Linked DNA regions of Caenorhabditis elegans. The protein of the gene in region 3 interacts with the protein of the main gene of each other region in a pairwise test. Each region holds a gene or a part of one and is shown on either strand. Other genes may lie near its edges. The genes, in order: Y38F1A.2, ubr-1 and ubc-1.

Region 1 (9,868 bases), on a different chromosome or scaffold from region 3:
CAAAAATAGGAAAAGTGCAAATGATTGTAGGCGCACATGGACTGAGCGGGTCGAGAAGTGGACAGTAGGAGACGGAGAAAGATGCACTTGACTTTGCATCCCCCTCTTTAAAAGAGAGTGAGATGAATAAGCATAAGCGGAAACAAAACTTGAAAAGAAATGAACATTTTTCGTTTTTATTTCATTATTTCAATTTCTTTTGGACGATGCGGGAGAGGATTTATATAAGATTTTGGTAGCAGGGGGAGAGTTTGGGAATGTTTTTGAATTGACAGAAAAGCAAAAAAAAAAGAAATTCGGCTCCGGACAACTAAAAGTTAATACCGAAAATTAAGTATCCAAAGTTGGGCAGAAAGTTGGAAAAGTTTGGCAAAAAGTTTCCAAAGTTCGGCAGTAAGGCAGAAAGTTGGCAAAGTTCGCCAGAAAATCACCAAAGTTCGGCAGTAAGGCAGAAAGTTGCACAACTTTTGCAGGGAACTGTAAAAAAACCAAGTTTGTCAGAAAGTTGTAAAAAACAAATTTCGGCTGTAAGTTGGCAAAGTTTTCCAGAAAATTGGCAAAATTTGACAGAAAGTAGCCCAAGTTTGGCAGAAAGAATACCAATTTTGGCAGAAAAGTTTAAACAAGTTCGACAGAAAGTTGGTCCATAATTCCAAGTATCTATATCAGGTGTGGGCGTCAATTGCCAGTCGGCAAGTTTTTTGTCGACAAATCGGGCAAATCGCCAAATTGCCAATTTGCCGGAAATTCACGATTCCGGCAAATTACCGATTTGCCGGTTTGCCGGAAATTTTCATTTTCGGCAAATTACCAATTTGCCGATTTGCCGGAAATTTTCATTTTCGGCAAATTATAAGTTTGCCGGTTTGCCGAAAATTTTCAGTTCCGGCAATTTACCGATTTGCCGATATGTCGGAAATTTTCAATTCCGGCAAATTACCGGTTTGCCGATTTGCTAATTTGCCGGAAACAAATCAAAACAGAAATACGTACAGATTCATGATAGAAATCTTGTTTCACAGTGCGATATACAAAACTGCCAACTAAAACTTCAAATCATATTCAATAGTTTTTTTTCCAAATAAAATCGTATAATTACGTATACAATGACATGAAAACCGTATGAATAGAAAATGCCGTTGTTGGATGGGTGGGGGGGGGGGGGGGTCTTGGCAGGCGGGCGGCACATCAGAAAAAGAGATAAGAACTACCCCGATCGTTTTGTTATTGTTTTCATGTTTTCAATTCAATGAATACATTTGTAATGGAACTTGAGGAAATGGGCGAATTGGAAATGCTAATGGGCAATAGCTAGCCATTTTTTGTAATAAGGAAGCGGATGGGTTGGCGAAAAACTGAATTGCACCCCATTGTTGAACTTTGACAGCTTATATCTCAATTATCATTTTTTTAATCCAAAAATTGTCAACTGACAAAATATTTTTTATTTCTTTTTCTATAATATCGTAGTTGATAGTATATTAATATCTTTAAAATAAACCGAGATATAACGTTTCAAAGTTAAGTAGTCGGACTTATAGCGAAATACGGTATCTGGTAGTAAAAAAAACCTCAAAAACGATGGAACTCCATAGACTTGCGTCATAACAGACAGAATGACAGCAAAAAAAAAGAATCAAAAAATAAAGTTGAAATTTGTTCCCAAACACAAGAATCCCCCGGGCTCCGCCACAGAATGTCAGCTGTTTCGAGAGATAAAATGCAAGATGAATTCACTGATAGATTAAACAAAGTGAGCCTCCTCATAGTTTTTTTTGACGTTTTAAACTGATTTCGTGTGTGTCTTTGTGTGCTGCAGAATTATCAAACTCTTCATTTCTTTTACTTAAAAAATAAAAGAAAAAGGGAGCTTTAACCAGAACCAAGTTATTGACAAGTGTCGACTGGAATTTCAGTGTTGTCCTTGATAGATTCCAAGTTGATTTCTCCGTTGCTCATGCTCGACAGGGTTGACATGCCAGAACGCGTAGCGAGAGATTTTGCGGTCTGAAAAGTCACAGTGTGAAGCTTTTTATATAAGTTTTAAAGCCCCCACCTTTGGACGATCTATCTCGGCGAACAACGCGGTGACTCGTCCTCCAAATCCATCGAAAACTTTCTTGTAGTACTCCGACGTATTCGGAGATTGTTGGAGAGCCAAGAAAATGCCAAGAAGATTTGCGAGCTCGTGCAGTGGGTCTCCAGCCGGATGCTCGCGGACGAGCTTCTGAACTCCGACGGCTTTCTCGTAGCGAGAAATTGCATCGGCTTGCTGGAAATTGACAAGATTACTTTCAAACTGATGAAAAATAAACCGCGAACCTTGTGCTCCATGATCGCGAGCTTTCTGTGATGCTCGAGCACTTTCGAAGACAATCCCTCCGTTTTCTTCATTGCCCCACCAAGTCCAGAAATTGCTCCGAGCATTTGAATGCAGCGCTCCACAACCGAGGAGGTGTGATCTTCCACCGATGAGATTCCGCTGCTGAAAAGTATAATATTTCAATAATTTTCTACCAAACTCTCTGTAATATCTCACTTGATGTATGGCTCGGTGACATCCGAGATTTGCTTGAGCCGCTCTTCACACGACTTAACAATGTTCTTCCCGGTGATTGTAAGGTCTTTAGACATATCCGTAAGCTTCTCCTTGGTCTGAAATTTTCAAATTTTGCACGGGTGTTCATAAACCTTGCTAATCACATACTCTTTGAGTTCTATGTTGATGGCTCTTCTTGTAATCACTAATCGCTTGCTGCAGAGCCATCATCTTGCCAATCTCCCTCTCCAGCTCTTCAGTTCCATCCATTACCGCCATTATCTGCAAATGTAAGCGGTTTTATGTCTCTGCGCCTCTCCGTCTCTTTCGCAATGTATTTACTTTCACATGCTGGGTCTCCGCGCTCTCTTGGCAACCCAGATGTGAAAGATACACTGGGGCGTTGTTTTTCGTTTTAAAAAGACGTCATCCTACACTTAAACTCTAGATTTTATGAAATTAATGTAGAATTTCTGAGCTTTTTTTTTTGTTTTTTATGTTGTTGTTTTTAAAATTGTTTGAACTTTCTTAATTTTTTTTATATTTGTTTTGCTTTTAAAATTGCCATCGTTACAACGAAGTTAAACTAATTTTTAATAAAAAAAACCAGTTTAAAATGCCACAAAATTCCAATAAAAAATATTTTGAAAATTAAGAATTTCATATTATTACGGCAACAATAAATCATGAGAATGCGTACTTGGTGCATTTTATTTGACGCGCGATATCTCTTAGCGAAAACTACAGTAAGAGCTTAAATATCTAGTGTTATTTGAGTTCTTACTGTAGTTTTCGCTAAGAGATATCGCGCGTCAAATAAAATACACCAAGTACGCATTCTCATGATTTATTGTTGCCGTAATACCTAGCCGCAAAATTATTTAATTCATGACTCTCGAAACGATAAAGGTGTAAAAAATATTCCAACAAAAAATCCGCCACGTAATCATTTCCGAAAAGTATGGATTTTTGCTACGTGGCATACTACACTTTTTTCAAATCCTCTAGTTTTCTGGGCTGCCTTGCAAAGAGATGACGTTTAATTAATTTGAAAAACCTTAGGTTCTCAGTAAATTGCTAAAGAAAATCCAAAAAAAAGTCAGTGTAGTTCGAGAAAATGCCGAAAACTGACTGAGTTTTCAATGACCGCAAATTTTCAATTTATTACAAAAAAACGACTGGAACTGTCTTGAATCAGTCTAAACAATTCGAATTTTTGACCAAACTTCCAGAGTAAGTCTCGCAAAGTTTTTGGCATTTCTCAAATTTAACCGTCTTTTTCTCTGTGAAACATATCATATTGGGATGATATAGAGCAATGCCAATATAGGTAGAACAGCTAGAGCAGCTTTTAACTTTCTCCACATAAACTTATAAGCTTATAAAATAGCTGAAATGCTGAAAATCTCCCCCCGTATTATAATTACCTTGGCATCCAGCGCCACAAGATCGGGCTCGCTTGTCAATTGGCTCGATTGATAACTATCCGACTCAGACATTGACGACATCCCGGACACAACTTTTCGTGTTGTTAAAGAGCGTACTTAATTCACGCTTTCGATGATGAGAATGTTAAGGAATAAATTGATTTATTGATTTGATTCGATCTTTGTTTTTTCTGTTAGATGTACGCGTGGCATTTCGTTGTTTTCTCTTTGCAATTTCAAGTCATGAGAGTTCACGTAATGTATTTCTTTTTTTTCTTCTTTTATACATTTTCTTTGCTAAATACACGTTTCTAAAATTAAAATATTTTAGAAAACTAGTAAAAATCATGGAGCAAGGTGTGCCTGCCACAAGTTCAGAGATCCCGCCATTTACAGAAAGTAAGTTTGGGAAAATGATGGGGGAATTTTATGTTTTTTTCTCAATAATTTCAGTAATAGAGGTCTCTAAGAAGCTCAATTACAGTAACCCTCTAGCATTTTGCAAGTATCTCTATCCTACAGTAACCCACAGAACTCGTACCGTAACTTATATTCATGCAGAAAGTATTTAGAAAGTTTGTATACCTAACTTAGACATAAAGTATTCCAGTTTCGATTTTACAATACTACAGTACCCCTACAGTAAACCTTTGGTACTTCTACAGTAATCCTAATTCACGTCTACATTATTCCTAGCTCCCTATACAGTAGTCTGCAGTAGTACAGTAGTCTTTTGGAACCACAGTAACAACCTGGTAAAGTGCAGTATCCTACGGTCTCTAATAAAATTCCTACCGTATCCTCTACAGTAACCCGCTACAACTATACTCATTTTCCAGATATCACAATTCCCGAAGTTGTCAGCGAAACCGTCACGGAGCCAGACGAAGATTGGCTGTGGCCATCGGATCCAGATGTGGAGCTCGCCACCCAGATTACCATGGCAATTGCGGTGATTTTCATTGTGAAGGCTATTTTCGATGCGTGGCAGTGAGTTAATTTAAAAATTTCGATAAGTTGAATGCCAAGATGCGGGCGGTGCCTATTATTGATTTTATGATTGGTTTGATCTTTATTTCAAATAAACTAGACAGAATTTAAAGTGTGAGCATTTTAATGAAATTTAAAGCATTTTTTCAATATTCTAAAATATACATTTTCCAGATCCCGACGCCGTCAGAGAGCCGCCAGCCGCATGGATGAAAACGCCGAGCGAAACCAAATAATTACGCAGAGAGTAAGATTTTTTAAAGTTCACCGGATAATTTGAAAAAAAATGTTATTAAAATTTTCAGAGAATCAGTGAAGCTCTACACCAAAGCTCCCACGAATGTCCCATCTGCCTTGCAAATGCCAGTTTTCCTGTGCTCACCGATTGCGGGCACATTTTCTGCTGTAAGTTTTTCTTGGCTGGGCTCTAAATTTCAATTATTTTCCGTTTTTCCTCCAGGTGAATGTATCATTCAGTACTGGCAACAGAGCAAGGCAATTGTGACGCCGTGCGATTGCGCAATGTGCAGAAGCACTGTAAGTTGCTCACAGAGTTTCATATAACACGGGGTGTCAATGTGTCCCATTTTGGTTTGATCTTCGAGAAACGCGGGAGAATGGAGACGTAGACTGTTCAACTGATTTCGTATGGTTAAGAGTGTGCTGACGTCACATTTCCCTGGGGGAAAAATTCCCGCATTTTTTGTAGATCAAACCGCAGTGAGACATCCTGACACCACGTGGATATATAATATTTATACAAATATGTTTATTTCAGTTCTACATGCTTCTCCCAGTCCACTGGCCAACAATGGGGACCTCCGAAGAAACTGATGATCACATTCAGGAAAATAATATTCGGATCGATGACTATAACAGGAGGTTTTCGATTAATCGACCGGTGAGATTTTGAATATTCAATTTTTGGTCAAAGTAAAAAAAAAACAGAAAAAAAATATCGAGATTATCAAAAAATTTTGTCACAGCTTGGTATCAAGGGTGTGCGGCAAATTTTCCGAATTTGCCAAATTTGCCGCTTACCGAGCTTAGCAAATTTGCCGAATTTGCCGTTCACCAAGCTTGGCAAATTTGCGAATTTTGCCGAATTTGCCGTTTGCCGAGCTTGGCAAACTTGCCGAATTCGCCAAATTTGCCATTTACCGAGCCTGGCAAACTTGCCGATTTCGCCGAATTTACCGTTTATTGAGCTTGGTAAATTTGCCGAATTTGCCGAATTTGCCGTTTACCAAGCTTGGCAAATTTGCGAATTTTGCCGAATATGCCGTTTGCCGAGCTTGGCAAATTTGCCGTTTGCCGAGCTTGGCGAATTTGCCGAATTTGCCAAATTTGCCATTTACCGAGCCTGGAAAACTTGCCGAATTCGCCGAATTTACCGTTTATTGAGCTTGGTAAATTCCCCGAATTTGCCATCTGCCGAGCTTGGAAAACTTGCCAAATTCGCCGAGAACGGTAAATTTCAAAAATGTACACTTGCCAAATTTGCCGAACTTGGCAAACATTGAAATTTGCCGCACACATGAAAAATTTTACTGAAAGTTTTGTAAAAAAAAATCTAACAAAAACCAGTTAATTCCATCAATTATTCTATCAATTTGGCCCTTTTTAAACTCGAAAAATAGTGCGATTTACCGAATTTGCCGAGCTCGGAAAATTTCAAAATTTGCCGTGCACACCTGGTTGGTATGCTCAAGTTTCACCCAAAAAATTTGGTAAAGAAACTGGTAAAACTTGGGCAAAAGTGTGTATAGTGTTGTGCCAGATTTTGGCAAGAAGTTGACTGTGAAATTAATGCTCCTGGAACTCGGGGCTCTTTCCGTGCCCAGTTTGAGATAAATTGTAACGTTTTGAATCAATATTTTCAGCTCGAACTTAAGTTGGGAATTCCGAGTTCCATATCCCATTAACATGTACTTTCCAGGTACTCGACTACATCCGTGACATCCCGATCCTCATCCCCTACCTCATCCGCAACTTTTTCAACAATGACATCTTCACATTGGTCTACCAGTAAGCATCCTCACCCTCTTCTCCCCCAACTTACTCCATTTCCAGAGTTCGCATCGGATTCGTGTTCATCTGTGTGATCACCTACTTCTTGCTACCAAGTGATATGGTTCCTGAGAGCATTTACGGAATTATTGGGTTCCTCGACGACTGTATCATTGGGATTCTGGTGTTTGGAGCCATGTTCCGGTGGCTCAGAGAGTATATGGCGGATCGAGGTTTAGCGAGGAATTAGGAAGCTTTAAATTAATTTTTTTCTTGCCGAAATCAGGTTTTCTTGTACAAAATCACCCCCCAGCTTTCGTTCCCACTGTGATTTGACCCAACACATTTGGTATTCGATTTCGGTTTCAATAAACTTAGCATATTCGACATCATCCCAGAAAGAGACATTCAAGGAAGGGGACGACAACTTGGAAATGTCTCATTTCATTTCGAATTGCGCCATTTCCGATTGTGAGGGGAATCTCGTTTTTTGTTGGGTTGTTCGACAAAGATAAAGACGAGATGAAGGCTTTTAATGAAGCGGAAGATATAAAATATTTGGGCATGTAACATCATTTATATTTATTCAGACAGTGTTTAGAGGTTTCAATGTATTTAGGTTAATGCCATCATTGCAGGCAGGTAGGCAAATGTGACTACTTAACGCATCTGAAAGTGCATGTTGGTTCTAGTTAATTTTTGAGGCAGGCAGGCAAGTAGGCCGCCTAAAAAATATAACAAAATAGTTGGAAATATTAAATTTTGGCAAATTGCCAGATTTCCGGAAGTTTTTAAAGGGATTTTTCATAAGACGGAAACACAGTTTTTGCGCAAAACCTGATTTTTCGAAAATAAAGAAAAGAATTTTCGAAATGTTGGGGTTTTGAAAAATTAGTAAAAATTAAGTATACAGGGTTGGGCGGCAAACAATTTTCACCGGGAAATCGGCCGGAGTTGAAATGCTTTCCCGTTTTTTTAAAAATATATTTTCATAAAATTCTCTTAATTTTCAAAATAGATGTAGGAACATTCATAGGATGCGTACAATTTTGCCGATTAATATTGAAATTCTGAAATTTCCAAAAAAAAAATGTGCGAACCCACAATTTGTCAAAAATTTTGTTTGTCGGTTTGCCGACTTGCCGGAAATCTTCAATTCCGGCAATTGCCGATTCGCCAATTTGCCGGAAATTTTAATTCCGGCAATTCGCCGACTTGCCGAAAATTTCAATTCCGGCAATTTGCCGATTTTCCAGAAATTTCAGTTTCGGCAATTGACCGATTTGGCGGAAGTTTCAATCACGGTAATTGGGTGATTTGCTGGAAATTTTCAATTCTTGCAATTTGCGAATTTCCTGGAAATTTCAATTCCGGCAATTTGCCGATTTGCTGGAAATTTTCAATTCCGGCAATTGGCCGATTTGCCCATTTGCCGGAAAAAATCGTTTCTGACTGAAAATTAGATTTTTTTAAATTGGAATTTTTCAAAATTCAGTTTTATGATAACAGTTTATCTGGGCGATTTTTTCTGCAGTAAACTGTGGGCTTTACTGGGAATTGAAATAATTTAGGATCTAGTTTCAGACAGTTCAGTGATAAAACTAATCAATCCTTTTCTTTTTAAATTTAATCCGTGTAAATCCATCTATTTTACTGTAATTCTATGAAACAGTACACAGGTGATTCGCGTTTCATGTGCCACACGCTCCCTCTGAGTCGAGGTGTGCGAAGGGTGTATGCGGCGTGTGGAGGGGGTGAACACGCGTGTAACGTGTGTGTAGCGAACAAAACGTTCGCAAAACACGCGTAAAGCACGCGTTGCGAAAATTTCGTTCGCTACACACACGTTAGACGCGTGTTCATCCCCTCCACACGCCTCATACACCCTTCGCACACCTCGACTCAAAGGGAGCGTGTGGCACATGAAACGCGAATCACCTGTGTATGCATACATATGTCTCATTCCCTTGGCCTCCCACTCTCCAAAGTAATTATGTATATGAATAGCTTATTGAAGAAAGTAAATGATACATCAATTTCTTCGAATCTTATAATAATAATAGCCATTGGTTCTTACTGCGTGTGAGACGGCTAATAGACATGGAAAGCGGAACTGGTTGGGTGGTGGATGGCAGTCGGCTTAAGACAAACAACCGTGGTGACCAATTGCCATTAATTAGTAGAACGAGAATTTTATTGGTGATTTTTTCAAGCTTCCAACAGGGGCTCCCATGAGGTAGCGCGGCGCGGAACCCCGAACGTGCCGGTCGCTTCCAAATAACCATCTTTTCGCACTACATTGCGCACACACCAAACTACGAGTTTTACGCTAAGCTGCGAAACCCCGAACGTGCCGGCCGCTCCAAACGACGACATGAGGCCCACATTTGGCACCTCACTCCACTGTGAGCCCTACTTCCAACATTTGTAAGAGCTTATTGTCGTAAGTCCAGTAAAGTCCGGTAAAAAGATTCATATCTTCAAAATATAAACAATTTTTGGTCCGAAACTCACAGAGGTTGGTTTTACTGGCCGAGTAGTATCATCTACAATTTCATACACTGTAACTGCCTAATAAACTTCACTACAATCAACTACCACTATGCCCTGAAAACCTGACCCCTATGCCTTCCTGAAAGAAAATGCCCGGATCAATCCCAGAAGACAAAACTCGATCGTTCGCCTCAATCTTTTTTCCCTTCACGACTCTAACTCTCCACCAAAACCGCACTATTTACATTTTCAAATGCTAGTGTAAGCCTCTCCGAACTGTCGCCCCCTCCTCCTCCCACACCCGATAGCCGCTTGTCTGTCCGCGCGCGGCAACGGCTTCTTCTTCTTCTTCTTTTTCGCCTTTAGCTTCTTCTTAGCTGGTCGAATGTCTTTTGTGTTTCTTTTTGGG
Region 2 (9,447 bases), on a different chromosome or scaffold from region 3:
TCAGTTTTCTCCAGCGGGGTCTCGGTTTTCGTCTTCAAAACTGTCGATTGCATTGTGTTAAGTGACTTGGTGATTTGATCGAGATCGAAGTCCGCACATTTCATTTGGGAATCCACGTTGAGCATCATTTGAGCGCTGGAATTTTTTTTTGAAATTATTATTTTGATTTTTAAGGGGAGTAAGGTCCAGGGCTGTCGCTTTTTGCTTTTTTTCTTTCGTCTTCAAGACTGTCGATTGCATTGTGTTAAGTATTTTCGGAACAAAAAACAAAAAAAATGCTTTCAAAAAGTTTTAGTTATTATGATTTTAAAAAAAACCTGTGGATTTTTTTGCTTAAATATTCAAAAACTCTCAACAAGAAAAAAATCTGATAGTTTTATGGCAGGATTTTGCGAAATTTTGTCAACTTTTTCTTTGTCGCAGCGGCTGAAATATAGTTTTTATCGAATTATCCCGATTTATTGCATATTTTGATTATTTATCTGGCGTTAATTCGTTAATTTAGTCATATTTTAAGTCGATAGCTATTCAAAAATTACGAAAATTGGATGCAAATCGAGCCAAATCAACGGAACAGCGTGAGATAATCAACCAAAGCATGCCAAATAGGGCAATATATGAAAAAAAATCAATTTCCATCGGCTTTTACAAAGAAAAAGTTGGGAAAACTGAAGTTTTTAGCTAAATTTAATATATTTCTTAAAAATTTAATCCATTAAAAATCAATAACTTTGACGTACATTTGCACTCTCTGAACATCATGTCTCGACGCAAATCTGCTATCAAGTGGGAATTTGTAATCAAGAGTATGCCATTCTGGAAGGCTCAGCTTGTTCTCTAGCTCAACAACATTTTGCTCAATATCGTTCAAGACAGAAGTCATGGAGGCGACGTTGAAATGCAGTTTCTTGCAGCTTCCACTCAAATCATCCATCTCATTGTACAATCCTAAAACTTTTGGCTCGAGTGTAATGAGCTCACGGTCATAAGCATTAAGCTCGAGCATTTTATTATGGAATACTCGTTCCTGCTTCGCAATTTCCGAATGATAACTATTGACAACTTCTTGAAGGGCGGTGAAGAAGGCTTTTGTATCATTTCCACCGAGTCCTGCTTTGATTTCTTCTTCAGAAAGTGTGTCGCTTCCACTTGCACCAATTTTCAGGCCTGCAGATGTAGTTGCAGCTCCTTTAAGTCCTGATGTTGTCCATCTGAAATTAAGAGTTTTTTTTATATTTTTAAAAAGTAAACCAAAATGTACCCAGTTCCCTTAGCCAATGGTGTTGAAGTGAGCCCTAGGCCAAGTCCAAGAGTTGGAGTAGCTTCTGCTGGCTTTGGAAGAGTGGAAGTAGTGCTGGTTGTGGTTGGAAGAGATGGAGTTGCTGACACTGTAGATGGAGTTTGTCCCAATGTAGCGGCAGTAGCAGGTGTTGTTGTAGTTGCTGCTCCAAACAATCCACCGGTCGGACCTACAGTTGCTGGTGCAGTTGTAGTCGCAGCCCCGAACAGGCCACCAGTCGGAGCTGCTGCGGCGGGAGCAGTTGTGGTTGCTGCTCCGAATAATCCACCAGTCGGAGCTGTAGAAGCAGGCGTAGTTGTGGATGAAGCACCGAACAATCCTCCAGTAGAAGCCGCTGGAGCTGCACTAGTAGCTGTTGTGGTTGCTGGAGCTGTTCCGAACAAAGATCCAGTAGCTGGAGCTGATGTGGTGGTTGTCGATGATGCTCCAAAGAGTCCTGCTGTTGGTGCGGCTGGGGTCTTAGCAGGAGTTGACGATCCGAAGAGACCTCCGGTTGGAAGTGAAGCGGCCGGAGCAGCGGCGGTAGATCCGAATAATCCCCCAGTTGTAGATGAGGTTGGTGCTGCGGCTGCGGCGGTGGTGGCTCCGAACAATCCTCCAGTTGAAGCTGCCGCTGGGGCGGTGGCAGGGGCTGCCGCAGCGGTTGTAGAAGCACTAGAATTACCGAACAATCCAACAGATGGAGTGGATGCTGAAGCAGCACCAATGCTGAAAAGACCTCCAGTAGCAGCGGCGGGAGCAGTAGAGGCTCCGAAAAGACCACCAGTGGCTGGAGCGGACGAAGGAGCAGATGTTGGTGCTCCGAACAATCCTGATGTGGCAGTTGTAGTTGCAGCGGTGGTTGCAGGAGCGGTAGAACCAAAAAGACCTCCCGATGGAGCTGCAGGCTTTGGAGCTGCGCCGAATAGTCCACCAGATGAAGCTGTCGCAGCAGGTGCTGAATTTCCGAATAATCCAGAGGTTGGAGCAGCATTGCTAGTAGCTGGTGCAGCCCCGAACAAACCACCAGAAGGAGCTGGGGCTGTGGAAGTTGGAGCAGCTGAAGATCCGAATAAGCCGCCGGATGGAGCCGCTGTAGAGGTGGAAGTGCTTCCAAATAGTCCTCCTGGTGCTGCTGGAGCGGCCGTGGATCCGAATAATCCACTTGATGGCGCAGCAGTTGAGCTACCGAAAAGCCCGCCAGTTGGTGCAGTTGTTGCGGTACTTGTGGATGATCCGAACAAGCCGCCAGTTGGAGCAGCTGGTTTATTAGCTCCGAACATGCCAGCACCAGCTGATGGTGCGCTTGCGCCAAACGTTACTGTAGCAGGTGCTGCTGAATTTGCAGAACTTCCAAAAATGCTCGTTGAAGCGGGAGCTGGCGCCGCGGCACCAGAATTTCCAAAGATTCCAGCAGACGCTGGGGCTGGAGCTGCAGCAGAGGAGCCTCCAAACATTGAGCCTGAAAAATTTAAAATTATACTTTTTGAATACGGGAGCGTATTTTACAAGTTTATTAAACCAAAAACCTACCAGTAGCTGTGCTGTTTCCGAAAAGTCCAGTACTTCCAGTGCTCGGCTGTGCGGATCCAAAAGAAAAACCTCCGGTAGTATTCGTGTTTCCGCCTAAAAACGAAAAAAATAAATTAGTTGAATTTTTCATCGATCGATACCTGTGTTCGCTGTTGATGTGCTCGAATTACCGAAAGAAAATCCAGATGAGGCTGTTGTGGTAGCAGCGGTTCCTCCGAAAATCGACGGTTTTGGTGCAGATCCTCCAAACATTTGATCTGGAATGATATTTTTAATATTTTTAAAGGGCAGCAATATTATTTGACAAAAAGAAAACGACAGAGAGGCAGAAAATAGTCATTTGAGTGCACAAATGAGCGCGTCGAGATTCGAAAAATGATTTGGTGGTCGCGCGAAAATGATGGCCTAAAAACACCGCAGACTAGGCCGGCGGCTGGGAGGAGCACGCGACGTCGGCGTGAAGGAGAAAAATCGAAGATAATTTCATGTGCTGCAGTTAGTTTGAAAATATAAATATTTTTGGGCCCGAATGTCTTTGTGGTTTCTATTGCTATTCTAACTTCTCGATTACAACTTATAATATTGATCCATTTTTTATACTGATATTTTAAAAAAGTTATGAAATGTGAAGAAAGATCTCGATCATCGAAACGATGAGCAAGCTTCTGAATATGCAAAGTTTTCTATCACAAAGGGGTAAAAACGCGGGAGAACCTTTTTTTCCTGCTGACCAAGTACTTTTCACGAAGAAATACTTTAATTTTTGATGAAAATAAAAAAGAAAACTATATACAAACTCAAAAATCTAACAACTCTCAGCGATCCACGCAAATTAGGAAATTGAAAACAAAAAGAGAAATTTGTGTACCGTAGTCCGAACACTTAAAGGCGCATGCCTCACCTTCAGGGTCTCGCCACGATCCACTTCCCAAGGGTTTTATTTTTATTTTTTTAGATTGTTTTTTTTCGCGAAATCAGTTATTTTTTCGGTGAAAAAGTATATTTTATTGCTTTTAAAGTCAAATAACTTTTATTAAAATATAGTTTTAAATTATTTTGACGTTATATGAGTGAAACATTCAAAGTCCACGTGCTCTAAAGTCTGATTTTAAAAAAAAGTTTTTTTTTATTGCTTCGCCAGTGAATTCGCTGACACGTAAAAATAATCAATATTTTTAATAGTTCAATTTCCTCATTGTTGAATTATTTAATCCACGATGCATTGCACCGAGTCCGTGAGAGCTCTTTATCTGCGGCAACACTCTCGCATCGAAAACAGAGAGAGAGAGAAGCAAATCTATATCCTCCCGTTCTCTCTCATCTCCTTCACTTTCTCCTAGTGTCCACTGTCATCATTTTTGCCTCCCATCACTGCTTTTTGTCCTCTCGTTCGCTTATTTTGATATGGTCATCAGCAGCATAATCGGGGGGTCGGAAAATAATCAATATATTTTATTTTCTTTTACGAATCCTCTTTTTCTTAGATGAAATGCTCCTATTTTATCAAGCTACCGATTTCAGTTCGACTAATGGAATGATTGTCGATTTAATACAATCAGCTCGACAGGGTGAATGGGCCCAAGTACGCCAGCTGCTGCTCAAGCACTGGCTTGTACAGGTCCCAGAGGTGTTCGAAGTGAATTCGGATTTGCCATGGGACAATACAGCCGCGAATGAACGAATTCTAGGTGGGTTTTTTTGAAAAAAAAAACATATATATTAAAAAGCCAATTTTGCTTCAGGTTCCCAAGGAGAGATTCTCCTAGCCCCACTGGTCAGTGCATTTGTACTAGACGTTCGGAACACAAAGAGCACACTGGAAGCAATGAATGGCATTGCCGGAGTTGATCCTGCAAGACGGGGACAAATTTGTGGCCATGTATTTAAAAACGGAGAACTTACGTATACATGTCTGGATTGTGCCACTGATGGGACATGTGTCATGTGTCTTCAGTGTTTTGAAGTTTCAATTCATAAATCTCATAAATACAAAGTGAGGATGCCTCAAAATGAATCAATTTCCACAGAAAATTTCTGAAAAAAAACATTCAGATTTTAGCCGAAACTTGCCCTTTTTCTCGAAATTTTAAACCAACATAGACAAAATCTTGAAAAGTTTTTGATTATTTTGAGCGAATATGAATGATAAAACACGCATATTTAAGTAAATCCAATTTATAATTGAAAAAAAATTTCCAGATGCACTCTTCCTCCGGTTCGGGATATTGTGACTGTGGTGATGCAGATGCATGGACAGAAGGTTACGCATGTGCAAATCACGAGAAAAAGGACGATGAAGAGGCGGCAGTGTTGGCTCCAGAATTGAAAAAACGATGTGAACAGCTGGTGGAAATCATTTTACAGTTTTCCCTTTCAATGATCACTCATAAAGATGATCTCAAACTTCCCGAAATTTTCGAGAAAATGAAGCCAGAGGTTACAAATGAGGCACAGCAATATTTGACGGTTCTTTACAATGATGAAACTCACACTTATGAATCTGTTAGTAATTAATATTCCGAATTTCAATTAAATCTTCAATTTCCCCGTTTTTTCCAGGTGATCAAAGTTCTGGAATTGTACATACATTGTACAAAGGATCAGGCGATGCTTGTAGCCACAATTGTCGATCGAGAAGGTCGAAGTGCTGTGAAACTTGGCAGTAAGGCTGATTGCACCAAAGCTAAGGATGATGTTCAGAGAAAAACAGCTCGAGATCCAACGTCAATTCGAAGATCATCGAATCATAATCTACCGTTAAGTGTTAAGGTTATGGATACCACGCTTTTCGCGCTTCAGAATTTTTCGATCTCCCTTCTTACTTGGCTCAACACACAGATGGATGTTTTTCGTTAGTTTTTATTTCTTTTTATTTCTTTTCATTATTCGAAATCGTGTTTTTATTTTCAGCTCCCCTTCGCGAAATTGTTGGAGAAATTCTGCTGAGTTCAAAGTTTGCACTGAAAAAGAATTACACGCGGAAAATGAAGTCAGAGGATCAACGTCTAGTTGCCGGAATTATCAGAAATGTTATGGTTTTGCCGGATGATGAAGAGGAAGAACTATTCGCACTTGATGGAAGAATGGATGTTGATGAAATGGATGACGACGATATTGGTGGAGAAGCTCTGCAAATGGAAATTGACGCGGATGATGAAGAAGAGATAACAGCAGCGTTGGCAGGAGTTTCAGAACATCAAGAATCTCCAGGTCCTTCACGAGATTCTTCAACATTCACAATGCTAGAGAATATTCTTCTCCAGGATACACAAATGTGGAAAGCTGGAAGATCGATTTTGCATCAAATGCTCATGCGGACAGTTTTCATGATTTATGATCAGAAAGTTCGATTTGCAAAGGCTTTTATGCTACATTATAATGAAATTTACGAGGATTTCATTAAAGATGATCATGAGATGGATGTTTCAGTTGTTGGGTTATCAGTTCAATTCATGACTGTTCCTAGTCTGGCTCGGAAACTTGTCGCCGAAGATCAAGCATTCAGTGTGATATCGAAAGCGATTCGGGATCAGACTGATAAATTTGTGAAGTGTGAGTTTTGAAAATATCAAACCAGACGTGGGCGGAAATTTTGATTTTTGGCAAGTTTCCGGAAGTTGTTAGACGGAAACACTTAAAACTGGGATTCTTTTTTGAAATTTTTTCTTATTTTCTTCAGCTATTTTTATAAAATTTGCTTACTTTTCAAAATAGATGTGAGAACATTTATACGATGCGTACAATTTTGCCGATTGAAATTGAAATTCTCAAATTTTCAAAAAAGAAATGTGCAAAACCACAATTTGCCGAAAAAACGAAAACTTCGGCAATTTCCGTTTTGCCGGAAATATAGAAATAAAGCCGCCCTCCCCTGTATCAAACCAATATTTGAATTTCTCTAATTTTCAGATTACAATGACGGAAAAATCGCGAGATTTGATTTCACAAGTCGCTCATTTCCACCAGAATTAAGAAGATCCCTTCATATCACTCGAGATATGGCCTATATCCTGAATGCTGTGCCATCGGAAAGCGACTGGAATCGAGAACTTATCGATGGATTTGTTCAAGGATTCGCTGATTTTCTGCTTTTCCTGCAGCATCTGCAAGGAATGGATGAGGTGAAACGACAAGCCGTTGAGCATCAAGTGTGGGAATCTGAGTGGGAAACAGCGTTCAATATCCTTTTACGATTGAAAGACGCGATTTCGATGATTATTGGATGGGCAGAAACTAATGTGAGTTTTCCTGAAGTAATTAAAAATCTCAAAATAATTGGATTTTCAGGAAGAAGTTCATAATCGTCTAATGATAATGTGCCTTGAATTGATGAATCGTATGCCACCTGTCTATACAAAATCCGAGGAGGATACCTATGAATTGACGGTCACTATCAACGGAGAATCATGTCGAATATCACATTTTGACGTGCTTAAATCATCCACCTCGGTCCATCAGCCGGTTGTTCGAATTATCGCGGGTCTCTTTAGTGCTTCGAATTACACGGGATTTTTGTTGAATAGAAGTAATAATTCACATACGAGTTTGAATCAAGAAAGAATCAAAGAACTTATCAACTGTAAGGACGAGACGAATCTCTACGAACTGAGTCTCCGAGTGCTCGTCCTGTGTGCACAATCCAACGCGACACTTTGGAGAAGAAATGGATTTTCGCTGATAAACCAGATTCATAATTATTTCTCTCCACTCTGTCGAAATGAGATGTTCGATCGTGATGTTCTGATGATGCAAGTAGGAGCTGCACTCACACCGTCAACAAAATTCATTTTCCACCTTCTTCATCGATTCCGTCTCTTTAAATGGGCTACATCCGAGTTTGAACAAGACAAGGCGAATGAGAAACCAGCGAAACCGGAATCAGAGGATCTGAGTAAGACGTTGGTGATGATCGCTGAAGAGTTCATACAATGTCTGATTCTGATTCTCTGTGAACGGTATACATACGGAGTTGGAAAGACTCGTCCGATGGATCAGATGAAACGAGAAGTTATCCATATTCTTTGTACTGGATCTCATACGTTCAGTCATGTAAGACTTTTTTAACTACGAAGCCTCGAAAGACCGAATTTCATAAGGAAAATAAATTTCTCAGATAATTTTTATGGCTGTTCAAAATTTCGAAAGATGACCTAATTTCCTTAAATACTAGTAGCCTGTGTCTAAATCAACAAAGAAAAATGTAAAAAATAACACGATAGTCTAATACAAATTCGACCGCTGCGGCAAGGAAAAGTTGAAGAAATTGTATTTTCTTGAACCGCCTTTTAAAATAAAATTAAGTTTCGTTTTTAAGGTATTATCGGCCATTTTGGGTATAATAAAACAGAAAATGAAGGTTTTTATTCAAATTAACTTCTAAAATTTCCAGATTCAACAGAAAATGTCACATGATATCAATTCGAAGCGTCTTTCTCTTCATGAAGCAGTAAATCTGGTTGCAGACTTCCGAAAGCCACTGGCCACCACAGCTGGACAATTCCATTGCAAAGAGTCGAGCCTTCCAACCTATTCACCATTCTTCATGCATTATTCAAAAAGTGATCAGTCAGCTGCTGAACAGAGTCAGGCAAGAGTTCGTGCGAAAATGGAAAAGTGAGTTATTGAGTTTATATTTTACTATCAAAATTCAATACATTTAAGGTCGGTTCGAGCTTGTGCGCCGCCTATTCTTCCGGATTTTCAAACATTTTTCGAGCGGATTCCCGAAATTCTTACCACAAATGTTCTTATTCACGTTGTTCGTCTGATTATCGATAGAACAGCTCGACGTAGCCGTTTCTCAAGTGATCGTCTCTTCCACAAAACACTATATCTGATCGGAATCGCGTTAAACGAAGAGGAAAAGAATCCATCTTTCGGATTTACACAACGTGCAGAGGAATCGATCGGTCTTTTGTCGCTTTTAGAAGGACTTGTTGGAAAACCAGAGTCATCGATTTGTCCGATCCTTCTCGAAGTGACCGTCGAGAAATACAGAAAATTGATTAAAGCTAGAGCAGGTGTTCCTGAAGCAGCTCCAGCTCCTGAAAACAAGCCAGCACAATCCGAAGAAGAAATCAAAGCGAAGCGAGCTGCAAGGGCGGCGGAAATGAGACAAAAAGCGATGGCAAAAATGTCGAATATGCAGTCAAAGTTTATGAAGAAAATTGAGGACGAAGAGAAGAAAGACGAATCACAGACACCTTCTGAAAAATCTGAAACTGTTGTGAAGAAGGACGACTATGATAATAAGCATTTCTTCGATGAAGATGTTGTGAAGCAAGTTGGTCACGATTTTCCGGTTTGTATCGGTGCAAATAAGTGGCACGCGGAGCTCGTGAAACCCCGAACATTGACGTGTATTCTGTGTCAAGAGGATGAAATAATTGCACCGCAACAGGGAAAACCAATGGTTTGCGCAGCGTTTATTCAACAGTAAGCTGGCTAATTGAGTTTTTTAAAAGTTATTTTACAATTTCTTTTTTTTTTCAGATCTCAACTTTTCACTCATAAGAACAAAAATGGAGAGCTCATGACGGCTTCAAGTGGGACAATATCTACACGTGATCTTCTAACAGCACCAGCTACACTTCAATATGGAGTTGATGTTTCCACGTGTTCACATAGTATGCATT
Region 3 (10,469 bases):
CGCAATTTGTCTACCGTATACCTGGACGTTTGGGCGCGTGTACCTCAAAAACGGTTGGTCCAGTTTTTTTGTGATGCATATAAAAAATGTCCGAAATTAAATTCTAAATTTTTTGGACCAAAGCTTTTTTCGTTATCACGCGCCCAAACCTGGTCTACACTCAAATTATCAGTAGAGCGCATTTGCATGGATGTACCACTTGCCGGGCCGTGTTCCAAATTGGTATATCGCTCAGTGTTTGCGTACTCCTGGAGCTACAGTAACCAGGAAAATTTTGAAAATCGAGCTGTGAACTTCTTTTCTTTTCTTCGGCTAAAGAATCGAGTATATCCACACAATTTTTCATTAAAAATCTGGAAATTTCGTAAAATTTGGTGTTTGGTCCGCAATCACTGTTTGCGTACTCTTGGAGCTACAGTAACCCGAGAAATTGAACGGAGATTCCCAATGTGAAGAAAAACTCGAGAATTTCGATTTTTAGGTCGAAAATTTGAAATTTTCAACTTAAAATCTATTTTAATATAGTTTTTGACGTGTTCCGCATTCCTCACCTTATTTTTTTTCCAATTTTTCTTTTAATATTTACCGATTTTTCAATAAAAACAATAACATCTGCTGCTGCTTCATCTTCAGAACTTTACACTTTTTTCTTCCTTCCGAATCATCTCTCACCGCTGCCAGTTGCTGTTTTGTGTATCACGTGAACAAGTCATGGTGTTTTTTGTTTTTGACCTGAAAAATATTTTGGGAAAAAAATGGAAGAAAATAACGAGTTTTCTCTCTCTTTAAAATCTATTTTTCTGCCTTTTTTCCCAACTTTTTTCCTAGAAAATCGAATTTTCAACTCAAAATTGGAATCTCTGTTCGATTTTGGCAATTTAACGGAAACTAGAAGTTGCTAGCTTCATTTTCGAAAAATTTCCGGTTACTGTAGCTCCAAGAGTACGCAAACATCGAGTGGTTGTGGGAAAAACACCAAATTCACGAAAATTCGAGATTTTGAGCTGAAAATTAGCCCTATGTCTAATCAAACAGTGCTGAACCCGAATTCCGTGACAAAAATTATCGGAAAATTGTATTGGGAGCATTTTCCTTAATTTTTAGCCATAGTATTGCTAAAAATTGGATTTTAAAAACTAGAGGCTCCTAGCTCAATTTTGAGATTATTCAGGTTACTGTAGCTCCAAGAGTACGCAAACACCGTGTAGTTGCAGACCACACACCAAATTTCACGAATATTCGAGATTTTGAGCTGAAAATTAACTCGTAAACTATTTAAACTATACTGAATCTGAATTTTCAACTGAAAATTTGGAAAAATGTGATTTCACAGCTTTTCCGCCGAAAAATCTCTGACAAGTTAACTTCAAATCAGCATTTTCGAATTTTCGACTGCAAATTCAGATTTTCCCTTCAATTTCGAAGTTTTTGACGGAAACTAGAAGTCGCTAGCTTGATTTTCAAATTTCTCGGGTTACTGTAGCTCCAAGAGTACGCAAACACCGAGTGATTGCAGACCACACACCAAATTTCACGAATATTCGAGATTTTGAGCTGAAAATTAACTCGTAAACTATTTAAACTATACTGAATCCGAATTTTCAACTGAAAATTCCAAAAATCAATATTTTCCAGATAATCTGCCGCCGTTACAATGGCCAAAAGTACAGCCAGTCGTTTGGATTTGTGCGGAAAATTTATTTGCTCAAAATTTTGCCACTATGCCCGCCAGAAGTCGCTGAGCAACTTCATAATCGAGATTTGGCAGTAATATCGTATTCCTACAGAAATGCTCCGCATCCGACGTTTGTGAGTGGAGGAAATCTGGAAAATTTGCGAAATTTCGAAGGATAAGTAGAAAAAACACTGAAAAATTGACCCAAATTCTGCAATTTTCAAGATTTTCCATGAAAAAATGTCTTCAAATTGAGAAAATTTGTGTTTTTCCATAAAAAAAACCGCGAAATTTCAATTTTACATCAAAAATCGAAAAAATTATCCAAATTCTGCTCAGAAAAGCCAATTTTCGAAGCTTTTCCATCAAAAAACTGTAAAAATTTGCAGATTGAGCAACCGGATAGGCAGAAGCTTCCAGATGGTCAACGTGTTGGTGAAGAAGTTGAATTGTTAGTTTTTTTTTTTTTTTGAAAATTTGAATTTTCAGGAAAAATGTGGATTTTTTGAGGTTAAAATTCTGAAAATTAAAATTCCGAAAAAAAAACTTCGGAAAAGTTCAGAAAAATTAATTAAAAAGAAAAAAATCCGGAAAAAATGTCTAAAATTTTTGAAAAATGAATTTACACAAAAATCTGAAAAAAAAATCACTTTAAAGAAATTTTTAATGCCAAAAAGTTTCAGAAAAATATCAAAAATTAAAACAAAATCTGTAAATTATTTAAGAAGTAATGAGTTTTCCAAAAAATTAAGAAAATAGTTTTTTTTTCTGAAATATTTAAATTAATTTTTAGGGATTTTTCAAAAATCTCAAATTTTCTATAAAATCCATAAAAATTCCCAAAAACTTCTCTCTAAGAAATCTATCAATTTCAAAATTTTTCAGAGTTTCCGGAGATGTGATGTTCGACGATGATATTAGTCCAGAAATGCGAGAAATGGTTGAAAATATGGAAAGAAAAAAGAAAATTAATTCGGAAAGATTAATGGAATTACTACAAAGAATACATCGAATTGATCAAATTTGTAAAAAAGTACGGATTTTTTTAGTCGAAATTGATTTTTTTATAGCTGATAATTAAGTAAATCAGAATTTTTACCTTAAAATCGTGAAAAAAATTGAGCCTAAGTTGAATATTTTGTACTGAAAAATTGGAAAATTTCGGCTTTAAATTTGAATTTTTCTGAAAAATATTATAAAATTTGCATTTTTCCAGAAAAATTGGACTTTTTTACTCAAAATTTTGATTTTTTGAAAGTTTTCAGTTAATCATTTCGAATTTTCCGGAAAACCTAAAATTCCAGTTTAAACTCAAAATTTTCACCGAAAACTTCAAATTTTTCAAATTTACCAAAAAATTGACATTTTCAGTGAGAAAATTGAAATTCCAAAAAAAAAAAAAAGATAAAAATCAAAAATTCACCGAAAATTTGAATTTTACTGAGAATTTCACGTTTTTTTGTAAAATTTTAAATTTTTGGAAAATTGATTTTTTTTTAGAAATTTTTAAATTAAAATTTAGAAATTTCCACTAAAAAAATCAAATTTCATTAAAAATTCATTAAAATTTTTTTTTTCACTAAAAAAGTTCGATTTGAACCAAAATTTTCTAATTTTCAGTTAGAAAATCGAATTTCAATGAAAAATTCCAAAAAATTCAAATTTTCAAAGAAAAATTTGACATTTTTGGCAATTTTCCAGCATTTTCATTTAACATAAACTGAATTTTTTACGAAACATTTTCGAAAGTTTCCAATTTTTACGGAAATTATATTCCAAATTTGCACTAAAATACGAATTTTTTTGGGAAATTCCAATTTTCTACCTAATTTTTCGATTTTTGCAGGAAGCTTGGCTGGAATCGTCGGCAGAAGTTCAACAACTCACACAAATTGCTCAACTTTTGCATTATTGTCAATAAATGTTAAAAAATATTTTCTTTAATTTTTTGATTTTTTAAAGGTTGCCGTACCTTTTTTCATACTTGTTCTAGCATTTTTCTGCATTTTTTCGAATTTTTAACCTAATTTTCACATTTTTTGCAGGAGTTAGGTTATCAATATGACGACGCCCAGCCGTAGACGTTTGATGAGAGATTTTAAGAAACTTCAGGTGAGTTTTGAAATTTTTGGCCCGAAAATTTGGCTTTCTTTGAACATTAGAGAACATTTGCAACAAAAATTGGTTTTTTCCAGAAAAAATTAGATATTTTTGGGATTTTTGATAAATTTCTCGTGAAATTTTTAAAATTAAAATTGCCAAAAAATCGCCGAAAATATCCATAAAAACGGCCGAAAATGTCCAAAAAATCGCCGAAAATTTCCAAAAAAAAATCGCCGAGAATTTTCCAAAAAAATTGCCGAATTTTCCAAAAATTCGTCGAAATTCTCCGAAAAATCGCCTAAAATTTCAAAAATATCGCTTAAAATTACCAAAAAATCATCGAAAGTTTCCAAAAAACGGTCGAAAAGCACAAAAAAAATGCCCAAAATTTCCGAAAAATCGTCGAAAATATCCAAAAGATTGCTCAAAATTACCAAAAAAAAAAAAAAAATTACCAAAAAAAATCGTCGAAATTACTGAAAAATCGCTCAAAATTTCCAAAAAATCATCGAAAGTTCCCAAAAAATCGCCAAAATTATCAAAAAATCGCCTCCAAAAAAATTGCCGAATTTTCCAAAAATTCGTCGAAATTCTCCGAAAAATCGCCTAAAATTTCAAAAATATCGCTCAAAATTACCAAAAAATCATCGAAAGTTTCCAAAAAACGGCCGAAAAACACAAAAAAATTGCCCAAAATTTCCGAAAAATCGTCGAAAATTACCAAAAAATCGTCGAAATTACCAAAAAAAAAATCACTTAAAATTACCAAAAAACGGCTCAAAATCATTAAAAGATTGCTCAAAATTTCCAAAAAAAATCGCTCAAAATTCCTAAAAAACTGAAAATTTTCCAAAAGAAAGGTTTCTTTTAATTTCCAAAAAAAATCGCTCTAAATCCCCAAAAAAACGACCAAATCTTTCAGGAAGATCCACCAGCAGGAGTATCAGGTGCACCAACAGAAGATAATATTCTCACATGGGAAGCAATAATTTTTGGACCACAAGAAACCCCGTTTGAAGATGGAACATTCAAATTATCACTGGAATTTACTGAAGAATATCCAAATAAACCGCCAACCGTCAAATTTATTTCCAAAATGTTCCATCCAAATGTGTATGCGGACGGATCAATTTGTCTGGATATTCTACAGAATCGATGGTCTCCGACGTATGATGTTGCCGCAATTCTGACATCGATTCAGTCGTTGCTCGACGAGCCCAATCCAAATTCACCGGCCAACTCACTTGCCGCACAGCTTTATCAAGAAAATCGACGGGAATATGAGAAACGTGTTCAGCAGATTGTTGAGCAGGTACACAACCCTGAATTTTGGATGAAAATCGGCGAAATTAGAGCTCAAATATTGAAAATTTGGCAGTTTTTGACCCGAAATCGAGAAATTTCACCCCAAAAATTGAAATTTGGCTGAAAATCGATAACATTTAAGTTGAAATACGAAAATTCTTAAATTTTCATCTAATGTATGCAAAATTTGGCTTTTTGTGGTTCAAAATCGTAAAATTTTACCCTAAATGTGGAAATTTAGCTGAAAATCGATGAAAATTGAGTTAAAATTAAAAAATTTTGGAATTTTTATGCCAAAACTGAAATTTTGAGAAAAATTAAACGTTTGGCTGAAATTCGGCTGAAAATAGGCGAAATTTTTTGCGAAATATGAAAAATCTGAATTTTTATGCCAAAATTGAGATTTTTTTTGCGAAAAATTGCTGAATTTTGGCTGAAAATGGCTGACATTTCAAGCAAAAATAATTTTTTTTTTTTTGAATTTTGCAAAAAAGAACCGAAATTTGAGGCTAAAAATTAAAAATTAGAAATTTTTGGCTTAGGTTCAGGCTTAGGCTTGGGCTTAGTCATTGGCCTGGACTTAAGCTAGGCCTAGAAGCCTAGGCTTCGACGAAGCTGAAAAAACACAAAAAAAGTTCCAAAAATTCTATAATTTTTTCCAGTCCTGGCTCAATTTCGGCGAAAACGAGGGCGACGCAGTGCTCAAGGATGACGTGGAAATTGAAGAAATTGCTGCTCCAGGAGCAAATGATGCAGACGATGACCGTATGGATGAAGGAGCCAGTGGATCGAATGCTTAAATTTTCAGGAATTTTTCTGAAATTTTTCTACCCCCAAAAATCATCTGAAATCAAAAGCTTTTCCCATCATCCCCGTAAAAGAAATTTCGAAAAAAAATCAATTTTTTTTTTTTGAAATTTTTGAATTTCCCCCCACATTTTTCTCTCAACACAATCGATCCCTTTGAAAATTTTTTCTTCTCGTTTATTCATTTTTTTTGTATTTTTTCCGGAACACTTTAAGATACGGTAGTTTTTTTTTGTATATATTTATACACCCCAGTCATCTCTCTCTCTCTCTCTCTCTCTCTCTCTCTGTCTTTTGTTGTTTACATAGATGAGGATTTTTTCCCGGTGAAAATTGGCTGAAAATCGGAAATTTTTGACCTTAAAAACTGAAAAAATTGTGAAATTTCAAGAAAAAATCACGATTTTTGACTGAAAAACAGCTAAATTTTGCGGATTTTCGGCCTTTTTTAGTGAAAAATGGCTAAAAATTGATATTTTTAGACCCAAAATTTGTGAAAATCTGAAAATTTCGACCAAATAGCTGAAAAATTTGTGAATTTTCGAAAAAATCATTTGGCATTTTTTAAGTCAAATTTTCACTATGTTTTTGTATGAAAATTCTGAAATTTTGAATTTCGATATTCCAACAAAATTTTCAGAGTTTTTAAGTTTTTTTTTGCTGAAAATCGCCATTTTTATACTCGAAATTTAATTGTGAAAATCGGAAAATTTTAGCCAAAAAATTATAAAAGTTGGAATTCTAACTCAGCTAACTTTCAAATTTTTGTCTGAAAATTCAATGTTTTTTTTTCGTCAAAAATCACCAAAATATTGCTCCTTTTTTGGCTGGAAATTCGAATTTTTCACTTTTTCCCCCAATTTTCATCATTTGCAAAAAATCCTCTTTTTTTTTCGTTTTCCCACGTTTATTAATTGATTTTTTTCGGATTTTATTGATTGATTTCCAACCATAATTGTCTTTTTTTTCTTCAAATGGCACCTTTTTTCTCTCTGTCTCTATGTCTCTGTGTCTGTCCCATCCCAATTCGTCAATTTTTCGACGTAAAAATGAATAAAAAATTTTGATGGCAAACTTTTTTTTGGAAAAGTTGCATTTTTTCCAAAAAAATTTGAATTCTCACAAAATTTTGTGCTCCAAAATCCGAAATTTGGAGCTTACAAGCCTACACAGGGGTCCAGAGCTTTAAAAATTCAAAAATTCAAAGGTTTTTGATTTTGGATTACGGAAATAAGACGTAAATTTCTGTTTTCACCAACATAATGGGACAGTAGTCCCCATAATCTAGTGGGTACTTCAAAAAAAGGTCCAAAAACTCGAAAATTGTAAGTTTTTAACATTTCCAACAAGTTTTTCTTACCAAAAACTTAAAATAAAAATAGTCTGCAGCTAGCGGGAATCGAACCCGCGGCCTTCTGCACCCCAACCAACTCTCTTACCGACTGAGCCACCGCGACACTCATTTTTCGAAAGTTTCTCAAATTTTCCACAAAATAGTTCAATCGACGCAGAATTTCACGCTGATCATTTTTGTAGTTGACAACTTTTTCCAAGCTTTCACCGTTCAATAGTTATGAGGGTTTAAAGTTTAGTGTGAGAAAGGGGGAGACGCAGACAACGAGACAGTCTGGGTCTCTCTCTCTCTCGTAGGTTCAAACTTTGAAGGCGCTTAACTCTGAAACTAGATTAGCTATCAAAAAACTCCCAACTATAAAAGTATCTAATATTTTAAGCTGAACAGCTTTGCAGTTAGCAAGTTTTTGATAGCTCTAACGAATTTCGAGTTTTCCACCAAAACCCATGTTTTCCCCCGACTGCAAAAACGCGCGCGAGTACGAATTCATTACTCCGATATATTCTCATAGTCCAAGAAAAATATTTGCTCATTTGTTTTCCGACGTGTTCCATCTTAAGAAAATCACATTGTTCTCGTATACGAGAGCAGGAGGTCGAATACAAAAAATAAAACGAGCGGCCAGGGGGAGAGTGACAACAACACAACCGTCGTGTATTTAAGAGGTAATCTGAAATTTTTTCAGATGCTGGAAATTTAATTATGTGAAGTTTTTAGTTTTAGTTCTAGTGTTTTGTAAAATTTTTCCGCTTATAACTTCAAAACCAGCGGAGCTATCAAAAAGTTTCTCATTACAAAATTATTCAGCTAAACGTTCTACACATTTCTATAGTTAAAAATTTTCTGATAGCAAGCCTAGTTGCAGAGTTACACGCTTTCAAAGCTTGGGCTTACGAGAGAGATAGAGGCTGAGAGAGACGCAGACTGTCTCGTTGTCTGCGTCTCTCCCTTCTCTCAAGCCAAACTTTAAACCCTTATAACTATTTAACGGTGAAAGCTAGAAAAAAGTTGTCAATTGCAAAAATTTTCACCGTAAAATTCTGCGTCGATTGAAGCATTTTTTGAAAAATTTGAGACACGGTGGCGCAATCGGTAACAGGGTTATCTATGGCGCAAAAGGTCGCGGGTTCAACTCCCGGTAGGTGCAGAGATTTTTCATGTTCAGTTTCTGGTAAGAAAAACTCAATTTTTGAATTTTTACAACATTTTTGAAGTACCCACTAGATTATGGGGGCTACTGGACGATTGAGTGGCGGAAAAAAAGAAGTTTCAAGACTTATTTCCGTAATCCAGAATCAAAAAACAAATATTTTTTGTAGAAATGCAGAATTTTGAATTCTTAATCTCCGGATCCCACGCGGGGAGCTTGTAAGCTCCAAAATGTTGGATTTTAAAGTACAAAATGTAGGGAGAATTAATTTTTTTTTTTTTTGAAAAAATTGCAAAAAAAAATTATTTAAAACCTTCAGTTTTTCAAAACTATTTGAAATTCTATCTATGACGCAGAAGGCCGCGGGTTCGATTCCCGGTATCTGTAGAATATTTTTTAAATTTTAGTTTTTATTGAAAAAAAATAGACTTTTTGGAATTTTTTGAAGTACCCACTAGATTTATGGTTCTTTTCTAAAATTCCCTCGATATGTGATCTACAAATTTGAAGACTAAATTCATAGTTTCTCATGACTCCATTTGTACCTCGTAACTCCAAAATAAAATTCATATGACGCCCTGTTTATGTCCTCGGCTTGTAACATTCAAAAATCACACTTTCCTAGATTTTATACGTTATGTATGTGGAATAACATATTTAAAAAGATACTATATTTTCAATAATTAAAAGCCCAGAGCCTGTTCTTGAAAGCCAAAGCTTAGAAGTCTGAGCTATAAAAAAGGTCTACAATCTAAAACCATGGCCTCAAAGCAAGCTTGAAAATTATCAAAATTATCAAAAATTTAAAACTCTTTTCTAATTGAAAAAAGTGAGCAAAACATGTTGTCAATCTACGAATCTTAACGCACGTCACTTGACATTAAGCACCAACCTACAGTCATTTTTTTTCCTTCCCTACATCATTCCATATTTAGCTTGCCTGCTCATGCTCCCAGCTATATAACTTTTAAGAATAATTACCTTTAATGGATTATCTATTGTCCAGTGCAATTATAGTCCATCTTCCCACTTCAAACAATTATCGCATCTGGCATTTCTCCTTTTCAAACATTGAAAAATGAATTCATTTCCTTATAGTTTTTCTGACACATTATCTGACGTCCGTTGCTACATTTTTTCTTTCGGTGGTTTTATTTGAGTACATATGAATTTCAAGCACGTATTTTTTGTATTAACATGTTTTTTAAACCCCTGACGCGTCGAAGTGATCAGTCTTTTCTGCGAAAAAATATTTAGTTAGTTTGGATCCGTGAATTTTGTAGTTTGTAGTTTGGTCACTAGTAATTGCTTAAGAAGCATTAGTTTAGTAATCGTGATATTTGTTATCTCCACCCTGAAATTCCCTATTCCAGGTAACACATATTGTCAATTGACTAAAACACAATGAAATCTTTTCTCTCAATTCTTCTGATCTCAATAACCATATCATCAGTGATTGGAGCTATCGATGGCAAACGGAGACCAATGAATCGCAACAGTTATTATGAGTTCTTGATGTAAGTTTAATTTTCTGTATATATCAAGTATATTGTCAGCTTGCAAGTTGGACCGAAACATAATTTTGATTAGTCGATGCACCATGTCTTTGCAAATTTTTTTTGATTTTGATTGTCTGCTAACCGAATACTTTTCAAAAAGTTTTGTAGATTTCTACTACTAAATATACTACATACTACATACATCAAACAGTTTTGATATGCATATGATGCAACTTTATCTGAAAATATGCAGGCTAATAGAAAGGTCATCACTTTTTCAACCAGGAGTGGGCAATTGCCGTCCGGCAAAGTTTTGTCGGCACATTGCCGGTTTGCCGTAAATTTTCAATTCCGGCGAATTGCCGATTTGCCGGAAACTTTCGAAAATACTCACTTTTCAAAATAGATGTAGGAGCATTCATAGGATGCGTACAGTTTTGGTGATTAAAATTGAAATTCTGAAATTTCCAAAAAAAAAGTGCAAAACCCCAGTTTGCCGAAAATTTTCGGCAGTTGCCGATTTTCCGCCAAATTTGCGAATCGGCAATTTGCCGGTTTGCCGATTTGCTGGAAATT

Evidence for each region.
Region 1: the proteins of ubc-1 (region 3) and Y38F1A.2 interact in a two-hybrid assay, tested with the Caenorhabditis elegans proteins (one study listed by BioGRID).
Region 2: the proteins of ubc-1 (region 3) and ubr-1 interact in a two-hybrid assay, tested with the Caenorhabditis elegans proteins (one study listed by BioGRID).

What each region holds. Positions count from the first base shown.
Region 1 is NC_003280.10:12,950,667-12,960,534, forward strand, and holds Y38F1A.2 (E3 ubiquitin-protein ligase RNF170), read left to right. Parts: upstream 1-4,291; 5' UTR 4,292-4,313; coding exon 4,314-4,365; intron 4,366-4,805; coding exon 4,806-4,956; intron 4,957-5,130; coding exon 5,131-5,203; intron 5,204-5,261; coding exon 5,262-5,361; intron 5,362-5,416; coding exon 5,417-5,493; intron 5,494-5,734; coding exon 5,735-5,857; intron 5,858-6,895; coding exon 6,896-6,984; intron 6,985-7,029; coding exon 7,030-7,216; 3' UTR 7,217-7,357; downstream 7,358-9,868. Other genes in the region: Y38F1A.1 (Exocyst complex component Sec10), read right to left, coding at 1,888-2,007, 2,057-2,272, 2,323-2,485, 2,540-2,655, 2,708-2,821, 3,967-4,047.
Region 2 is NC_003279.8:3,811,696-3,821,142, reverse strand, and holds the start of ubr-1 (E3 ubiquitin-protein ligase ubr-1), read left to right. Parts: upstream 1-4,333; 5' UTR 4,334-4,346; coding exon 4,347-4,500; intron 4,501-4,554; coding exon 4,555-4,805; intron 4,806-5,011; coding exon 5,012-5,314; intron 5,315-5,371; coding exon 5,372-5,663; intron 5,664-5,722; coding exon 5,723-6,364; intron 6,365-6,721; coding exon 6,722-7,050; intron 7,051-7,099; coding exon 7,100-7,861; intron 7,862-8,201; coding exon 8,202-8,425; intron 8,426-8,473; coding exon 8,474-9,247; intron 9,248-9,304; coding exon 9,305-9,447. Other genes in the region: npp-11 (Nsp1_C domain-containing protein), read right to left, coding at 1-135, 741-1,211, 1,262-2,741, 2,813-2,905, 2,953-3,064. UniProt on the Caenorhabditis elegans protein: E3 ubiquitin-protein ligase which is a component of the N-end rule pathway. Recognizes and binds to proteins bearing specific N-terminal residues that are destabilizing according to the N-end rule, leading to their ubiquitination and subsequent degradation.
Region 3 is NC_003282.8:4,099,300-4,109,768, forward strand, and holds ubc-1 (Ubiquitin-conjugating enzyme E2 1), read left to right. Parts: upstream 1-3,720; 5' UTR 3,721-3,736; coding exon 3,737-3,787; intron 3,788-4,700; coding exon 4,701-5,090; intron 5,091-5,745; coding exon 5,746-5,883; 3' UTR 5,884-6,964; downstream 6,965-10,469. Other genes in the region: C35B1.2 (SWIM-type domain-containing protein), read left to right, coding at 1,636-1,809, 2,065-2,126, 2,561-2,708, 3,522-3,596; nlp-89 (Neuropeptide-Like Protein), read left to right, coding at 9,799-9,911. UniProt on the Caenorhabditis elegans protein: Catalyzes the covalent attachment of ubiquitin to other proteins.